2 linked regions of the Ovis aries genome follow. The protein of the gene in region 2 purifies or fractionates together with the protein of the main gene of each other region. This does not show direct contact. Links are inferred from orthologs where the notes say so. Each region holds a gene or a part of one and is shown on either strand. Other genes may lie near its edges.

Region 1 (4,659 bases), on a different chromosome or scaffold from region 2:
CAAACCCAGGTCTCCCACATTGCAGGCAGATTCTTTACCAGCTCGGCCACCAAGGAAGCCTAAGAATATTGGAGAATATCCCTTCTTCAGGGGATCTTCCTGACCCAGGAATCAAACCAGGGTCTCCTACGCTGCAGGCAGATTCTTTACCAGATGAGCTACCAGGGAAGCCCATTGAGTGCTTGCTGCTGCTGCTGCTGCTGCTGCTGCTAAGTCGCTTCAGTCGTGTCTGACTCTGTGCGATCCCATAGATGGGAGCCCACCAGGCTCCTCTGTCCCTGGGGTTCTCCAGGCAAGAACACTGGAGTGGGTTGTCATTTTCTCTCCAACGCATGAAAGTGAAAAGTGAAAGTGAAGTCGCTCAGTCCTGTCCAACTCTTTGGGACCCCATGGACTGCAGCCTACCAGGCTCCTCTGTCCCTGGGGTTCTCCAGGCAAGAATACTGGAGTGGGTTGCCATTTTCTCTCCAACGCATGAAAGTGAAAAGTGAAAGTGAAGTCGCTCAGTCCTGTCCAACTCTTTGGGACCCCATGGATTGCAGCCTACCAGGCTCCTCTGTCCATGGGATTTTCCAGGCAAGAGTACTGGAGTGGGGTGCCATTGCCTTCTCCATTGAGTGCTTGAAATGAAGTGAAGAAGTGAAGTGAAGTTGCTCAGTTGTGTCCGACTCTGCGACCCCATGGACTGTAGCCTACCAGGCTTCTCCAGGCAAAAATACTGGAGTGGGTTACCATTTCCTTCTCCAGGGGATCTTCCCAACCCAGGGATCGAACCCAGGTCTCCCGCATTGGAGGCAGACGCTTTAACCTCTGAGCCACCAGGGAAGCCCCATTGAGCGCTTTGTGCAGGTCAAATACCTGACAATACTAGGGAGGTCCATGCCTTCTTTGCACAGAAAAACATAAATATGTACTATTTTTACATATAACAGTATGTAAAGTATATAAAGTATAATAGTATTTCTTACTGAACCTAAGAAATCAAAGTTGAAAATACTCTTCTAGATGCAGGAGAGGCAATAATTTTTGAAGAAGGAAATTACAAGAACCAGATTTCACTTTTAGTGTGTATGAAAATGATCCAAGATAGTCTGAAATAAGATTCCATACCAGAGCTGCTAGAAAAGAGATTTTTGATATAGCAATGTAAGACAGTGCTTAAATTAGTTCACTGGCAGTGAAGCCAAGAGTAGGGAGTTCATGTGCTTAATGACCATATATCTCAATTACCACCTTCTTAGAGATCTTGCCAAGAGATCGTGTCAGATTAACTTTGTTGTGTTACATGAAAAACTTTATATATAAATGTATGTTCAGTCTTATCTATTGCTATTTGGCTTCCTCTATGGGTAACTTTAAAATAACTGGCATTGTTCTTCCCTATTTTGAAGCTGAAGTACATAAGAGCCCATGGTCTAAAATTAATTAAAATTCATAAATACAGTAAATCAACTGTGATTTTTAACAACTTCAATTTCCTGGTGCACTTCAGCTATCACATATAACCCTCAAGTGTCCATGTAAATGAAGACAATCTACATGACAGCAAGATGTTTGCAGACACATTTACTACTTTGGAAACCAAGCTTGATGAGTTGCACAACATAATTTCCATAACCAAGCCAAGATTATTTAATTTGAATGGTTAAGACTTTAAAAATATATTGTAAAGCAATCACAAGACAAAGCATTACAGCTTGTTTTTTTGATAGGACAAGGTTACAGTATATTTTTATACATTTCTTATTCCCCTCTTCCCCATGCCCATAAAATTTCTGGAAGGAACAGGCCATCTTTATCCCTCTGCAGCAATCTCATGATGGTATGAATAAAAGCTCAGTTAAGTACTTGCTAAATTTGTGTACTTAACCAATTCTTGACAATTCAGTAGATTCAAACAAAAAGTTAGTAATGGTTTAAAAAAAAAGAAAAAAGAAAAGAAAAAAACTTGGTGGGCAGTAGCCAACAATACAATCACAGATAGTAGAAACCCAAATATTGTAATCACTGTGTTGCCCTAAATATAGAAAGGTCTCATAGTTTGGCCAAGAACAGCACATAAATCAATGCATTATATGAACTTCCTTTCCTGTTTCTCTCAATCCACTTTGAGTCAAAGTATTAAAAAACTGATAATATTCTAAAAAGAATCTGGGGAGAAGGAATAGAACCTATCTAATGGGATTGTTAAAATTAGAGAAAGTTAAATAATAATACTGATTAAAAGAAAAAGTTGGTATATGTCTTGCAGGTGGACCATTTCTCTAAAGCACCTAATCAATTACTGAACTCAGGAAAGGCAGCTCCTTTCCATTTGTTCCCACAGAAAGTTCTTTCCTGACTGCAACGGGCACCTTTCAGCCTCAGATCGAACCCACTGACAATCTACAAAACGCTGAGAATTAAAAGCGAGAATGCCAATGTTAGAAAACTGATCAAACACCTTCTCAACACAACCCCCTGAATTCAAGTGTCCTAATCCCACAGCTTTACAGGGCATTTCAAAGGCGCTTTACACAAAGAATCCCGCAGGTGCAAAGGGAGAAACTGAAAAGGGAGCCCAGGCGATGCACGACATGAGGGTAACGCCAGAGAACTCAGGTGCTCCCCAGTGTTTACAAACAGAAGGGCCAGAAGCTTACACATCGAGGGGAGTCTAAGCCGGAAAAAAATTGAGCGCGGAGGAGTTCTAGAGAAGTAAAGAAAAATAAAAATAATAATAACTGGATCGCCGACTACTATTAAAAGTCAGTCGCCACTTCCGGACCCTACCTGTTAGTAATTCCACTTCCGGCCTCCTCCGAAAGGCCCGCTCCCACAGGCGGACATCCAGCACCCAATGAGAGTGTTACCTACTTCCGCGGGGGCTGAATGACGTCATTTAAGTCCCGTCCTTTCCGGAAGAGAGGAGCCTATCGTAGAGCCCGAGACCCGCGCCTCAGGAGGAGGTACCCTGACAGGCCCAACCAAACCGCGGAAAGGGAAGAGAAAGGCAAGCCGGCCGTGCACGCCTCTTCCGCCCTGGGCCCGGAAGGGTGATGTGGCTGGGGCTCCGCCGGCCTCACTATGGTAAGAACCGGGGCTTTGGGGTCGCAACTGAGCTTTGTGCAGGGGCTGCGAACCAGTACAAGGGGTGGAGGGTTGAGTGGCAGTCCCCGGCCGGGGAGCCCTGTCGCTAACTTGACTCTCCTGGGGCTCAGAGGGAGAGATGGGCCCGGGAGCCATGTGGCCACTGCACGTCCAAACTGGGACAACCGGAGCCGACAGCCCAAGAAAGAGCCTCAGGGCCGCAGAGCCCCTCCTCACACGCAGAGGCTACTTTAATGACTTGTTTCAAAGAAATGCGCTGGTTTGGCTTAACCCGTCGTTACTTATTCTTTGTGGTTATTTTCAGGCTTTAGAGCTGCCGGATTTGCGCGCTTGTTGTTTTGCGGTTTGTTATCTCATTGCCGACCTAAGCCAGGTGTTTCATTGTTTTCAAACAAACTCGAGACATGCCACCTTAATTTTGACTTGTTGAATTAATTGGCCTTTTAGGTCTCTCCAGCTCCATTCTCTCAACTCTAAAGATGCTACTTTATAAGCTGTGATATAATCACTGGAGTTGTCTGTAGAGGTGGCTTTTCTAGAAGCTTACTGTGCTTGGAGTGGTTTCTGGCCTCGGGTCTTCCCTTCCATACATTATTAAGGTTTCCTGTGTTATTTTGTCTTATTGCAGATTCCTTTAATAGTTTGGGCCTCTTGGAGAAGCTTGAAATTAGCTTGAATAAGTTCACAAGAGAAATGTTTACTTCTCCAAGCTACGAAAAATACATAAAACCAACGTGGACGAAGGACAGATGAAATAATCAGTAGTAATAGCAAAGATCTCCCAAGCTATGTCTGCAGGCATTTCACCTTTGTCACGGTAAATGCTAACAACCTCTACACTGGGCCCTCCCCATGAATTTAGGAGGTCTATATGCCAGATGTGTTTATGAGGAAAAGATTCGTGCCTTTTATTATAGTATCAAAAGCAGCCATGACAAAAGCTTTTCTGCAGTGAAAAGTTGTTGAGCTTACGTTCCCAGAAGTTCCTGCAGAATCCCATACAGCATAAAACCCTTAGACTTTGAATCGAAAACTCATTAATTGTTGTTTACTTTGTGCCAGCTACTGTTATAGCTGGAGCATAAGTCACAGTCTTTTCCCTGGAGAAGTTTACAATGTATAGAGGGGATGACATTTTATTGGCAAATTATTCCTTCCTTGGCCGAAGATACTCTCCAGTTCCAAAATCGAACTATCACATGAAAGGACACAAGTGGATAGACTTGTGTCCTGAATGAGCCATTATTTAACTTAGAAAATGTGGTTCATTTTGCAATCCAAAAAGAGTAACGAGACTGTTACTCTTAATTCTTGCATATATCCTCCTTGAGGCTGAAATGGATTATTTTACTCATAGTACAGGCAGAGATAGATTCTTCTTTTTGTCTTATGTTCTATTTAGAAGCAAGACATATACCACTTAAGATTAACAGTATTTGAGCCATCTGGCCATACTGGTTTATTCAGAGAAACAATAATAACTCTCATTTATTAGCTATTGCTGTGTGCCAGGGTGCATTTGAAAAATCAACTTGAAAGTATTGTTTCATTCGAAACTTCTGAATAGAT
Region 2 (3,277 bases):
GGAGTGCGGGGGCCGCCCACCCAGTCCCTCTGCCCCCTCCCCGCAGGTCAGATGCTTCTGAGCAGGGGCCTCTGGGGACTGCGCCTGCCCAGCGAGATGGAGGACCACGTCCTGAGATGTCTCTGAGGACAGCCCCCACCCTGTACGTTTCCCCAATAAAGTCTTTTAAAAGCCCTCCGGCCACTTGGCTCTGTTCAGACTCCCGGCTCTGGAGAGGCCAGGCCACTCTCACCTGAGCTGGGAGAGGGTGCCACCGTGCACGGAGCTGCCCAGCCTGGGCAGTACCTGCTGCTCCAAGTGTTCCAGGGTTTTTCCTGCAGCTGCTCCCAGGCTGCCCTCCCTGCCCTGTGGCTTCCACGGGCCTCATTCAGCTAGAAGCAGACACGAGGCAGGGCCAGGCAAGTTCCAGCTGCCACCACCATAAACCTCTCCAACCCAGGAGAGGCAGAGGCCCCCCAGGGGGGCAGAGTCCCCAGTAGCACCTTCCTGGTACCTTGGGCCCAACGGGTCTGTGCTGCTGGCCTGGCTGGGTGAACCACCCTTCTCTCCAGCAAAATGGTGGCCAAGAGTTAGGAGAAATAGCATTTATTGTGGGAAGGGGCGAGGGCCAGTAGGGCAGGGTGGCTCAGCCCTCTGAGAACTGGCGGTACAGCCGCTCGAGCTGCGGCACCACGTGCAGCTGAAATGGGATCTCCAGGACGGCTGCAAAGCCTTCGGCCAGCGTGGGGGCCTCGAACTGCTTCCTGGCGGCAGAGGATGCAGGCTAGAGGCGAGACCCAACCATTGGGCTCAACCTATGTCCCCCCACCTCACCCTGCGGCCCCCACCTGTAGCTGTAAATGACGACGTCGGACACGGGCATGTGGGAGGAGTCTGTCATCTCCCGGAACTGCGGGGGCAGAGGTGGGGCCGGTGAGGCCAGGGCTTGGTGGGGTGTTGGGGGCTGGAGGGGCTCGGGGGGTTCACTCACCCGGTTGTTGTGGCGCGCCTGCTCCAAGGTGGCACTGAAGAGGAAGCAGCGGCAGGGCACACCCGCATCCCGGGCACACTTGATGTACCTTGGGGAGGGGAGGATGGGGAGCTTGGTAAAAGGCCTGGAGCCGCCCTCTAGGGGCCTTCCCTGGGACCCCAGTACCTGGCCCGGCTCTGGACGTCGGGGTTTGTGTTGTCAATCACGACCGGTTTCCTCTGCTTCAGGGCCGCCTCACATGCAGTCACACAACGCTGCCATGAGCCCAGAGTGTCCTGGAGACCCAGAGAGAGAGATCAAGGATGGGGCTTGGGACACCCAGGGGCACAGGGACCCAGAGCCGGCGGGGGGACACCGAGGCAGAGTGATGGAGAGTCAGAAAGCACAGCCGTCTAGGGGTTGGGGGGGCACTGAAGACCACGTCCTACCCTGTTCACGTGGACGTATCCGGCTGACACGAGATGCTCCCGGAGGAAGGTGGACTTCCCGGCTGTGAAGGGCGCAGGGTGAGTGGGGCCTGAGGAGTCAGAGAGGGGCTGGGGCTTCTGGGGGTCAGGGAGTCTCACCCCCAGGAAATCCCACGGCGACGACCACCTCTGGGTCTGAGCTTAAGAGGGAGCTGGACTCGGGGAGGCAGAGAGGCCCAGAGCGGGCGATGCTTCTCTGGGAGGGACAGACAAGATGAGAGAAACCCGGCCCCATCCCTGTGCGTCCCCGCCGCAGGCCTCATCGGGTCAAAGGCTGCGAGCTCAAAGGGCCCCATCCATGTGTGCCCCCCACCCAGCCCTGCAGGCCTCACCGGGTCAAAGGCTGGGAGCTCGAAGCGGGCCGCAGGCCACTTGAGAAAGAACTCCTCTGGTGTGGTGAAGGGCAGGCCCAGGTTCAGGGCGAACTGGGGGGGCGAGGGAGCAAGTCAGGTGGGGTGGGGTGGGGGCGGGCTCCGGTGTCTGGACCGGGTGGGGCACTCACCAGGCGGTCTGCACAGGAGAAGTCTTTCTTCTTGCGCCCAGGGGCCCAGTTGGCTGGGCGTCCCGCTGCGTCTGGAACACGGAGCCCCGTCTCCACCAGCATCCTTAGGAGCGGCCCATCCGCATCAGCGCCCAGCACCCCCCCCCCCCCCCAGCCCCAGGCCCTTACCTCCCACAAAGATGCTGTCCCTGATGGAAATGGGCACGCCCTCGTTGGCCTGGGCAGGGACACATGACAGGCAGTAAGGAACCCAAGCCCACATCTGTCGCACTAACAGGTTCCGCCAGGAGGTCGCTCTGTCGGTGCCCCGCCCTAGGCCTGACCTCTAGCCTCTCAGACCTCAGCCACTTCTCAGCCGCTTCACCGCCTGTTCCACAAGCGGCCGCCAGAGGGCGCCCGCTCCCACCTGACGCGGCTCCGGACCCCACAGAGTCTGACCTCGCATTGCCCCCTCGCCAGCTCAGCGGTAGCCACACAGGCCTCCTCCCTGCCCGCGAAAATACCGGACTCCATCCATCTCAAGATCCTTGCATTTGCCGTTACTCTGCTCTTTCCTTAGATGACACACGGCTCCCTCACTCACCACCTTTAAGCCTTTAATCAACACCCGGCCGTTCCCTCACTGTTTACACATCGGTCAACACACTTAAACGAGGGCCCGGGCGCAGGCAGGTCTGTCTTGTCCACTAATACGTTCAGCTCAAGAAGCTTTGTTTGTTCTGAAGAACAAACCCATGAATGAATCCACAGGTGATTTCTCTCCGGACCACTCTGGTTTCCCGAGTTTAAAAGCATTGGCCTCAGCCACCAGCACCAGGACATGATAGCAAAGAAACTGAGGCGGCCAGGCCTGGGGAGGGGGTGACAGGGAAGGTCATGGAGCAGAGACCTGGAGTGGGCAGGCGGGCAGGGAGCCCTGGGAGTCGGAGGCTCACCTGCTCTTGCAGGTGGTCCCACATGCCGCTCACCGGCTTCCGGTACAAGCCTGCGTGCGTGGCCACCAGCACCTGTGGGTGGGGCCGGGGTCAGACACCGTCCTTGACTCTTGCTCTGACACCCAGAGTCCTACAAAGGCACCTGAATCCCAAGGACACTACGCCAACGCTCACCAAGGTGAGCACCGCTTGCAATGCATCTGTCGGCATAACCACGCCCGGGGCCCCCATCCACTCTCCAACTGGCTCACCATGTCACACCTTCTCCCCGGGTCTCTGTTTCCTCCTTTCTGGCCCACCACGCAATCTCTGGCCTCTGTCTCAGCCTCTCTGTCCCTCTACATAGTCCTTCAGCCTCCCATGCAGCCATACCTGAAAGGGGACCCCCAGCTTCTCCACCACA

What was found. The genes of interacting proteins can lie anywhere in the genome.
Region 1: the proteins of PNKP (region 2) and XRCC4 purify together in Homo sapiens (co-immunoprecipitation; 5 studies listed by BioGRID and IntAct, counting the BioPlex papers as one, with this or other methods). This does not show direct contact. The link is inferred for Ovis aries from reciprocal best matches to the Homo sapiens genes PNKP and XRCC4.

The regions. Positions count from the first base shown.
Region 1 is NC_056058.1:80,502,658-80,507,316, reverse strand, and holds the start of XRCC4 (DNA repair protein XRCC4), read right to left. Parts: upstream 2,842-4,659; 5' UTR 2,773-2,841; intron 1-2,772. Other genes in the region: TMEM167A (protein kish-A), read left to right, coding at 3,067-3,069.
Region 2 is NC_056067.1:55,944,005-55,947,281, forward strand, and holds the end of PNKP (bifunctional polynucleotide phosphatase/kinase), read right to left. Parts: coding exon 3,247-3,277; intron 2,947-3,246; coding exon 2,875-2,946; intron 2,157-2,874; coding exon 2,108-2,156; intron 2,011-2,107; coding exon 1,940-2,010; intron 1,863-1,939; coding exon 1,770-1,862; intron 1,634-1,769; coding exon 1,537-1,633; intron 1,461-1,536; coding exon 1,399-1,460; intron 1,246-1,398; coding exon 1,136-1,245; intron 1,059-1,135; coding exon 971-1,058; intron 890-970; coding exon 828-889; intron 764-827; coding exon of another isoform or gene 744-763; coding exon 626-743; 3' UTR 570-625; downstream 1-569. UniProt on the Homo sapiens protein: Plays a key role in the repair of DNA damage, functioning as part of both the non-homologous end-joining (NHEJ) and base excision repair (BER) pathways.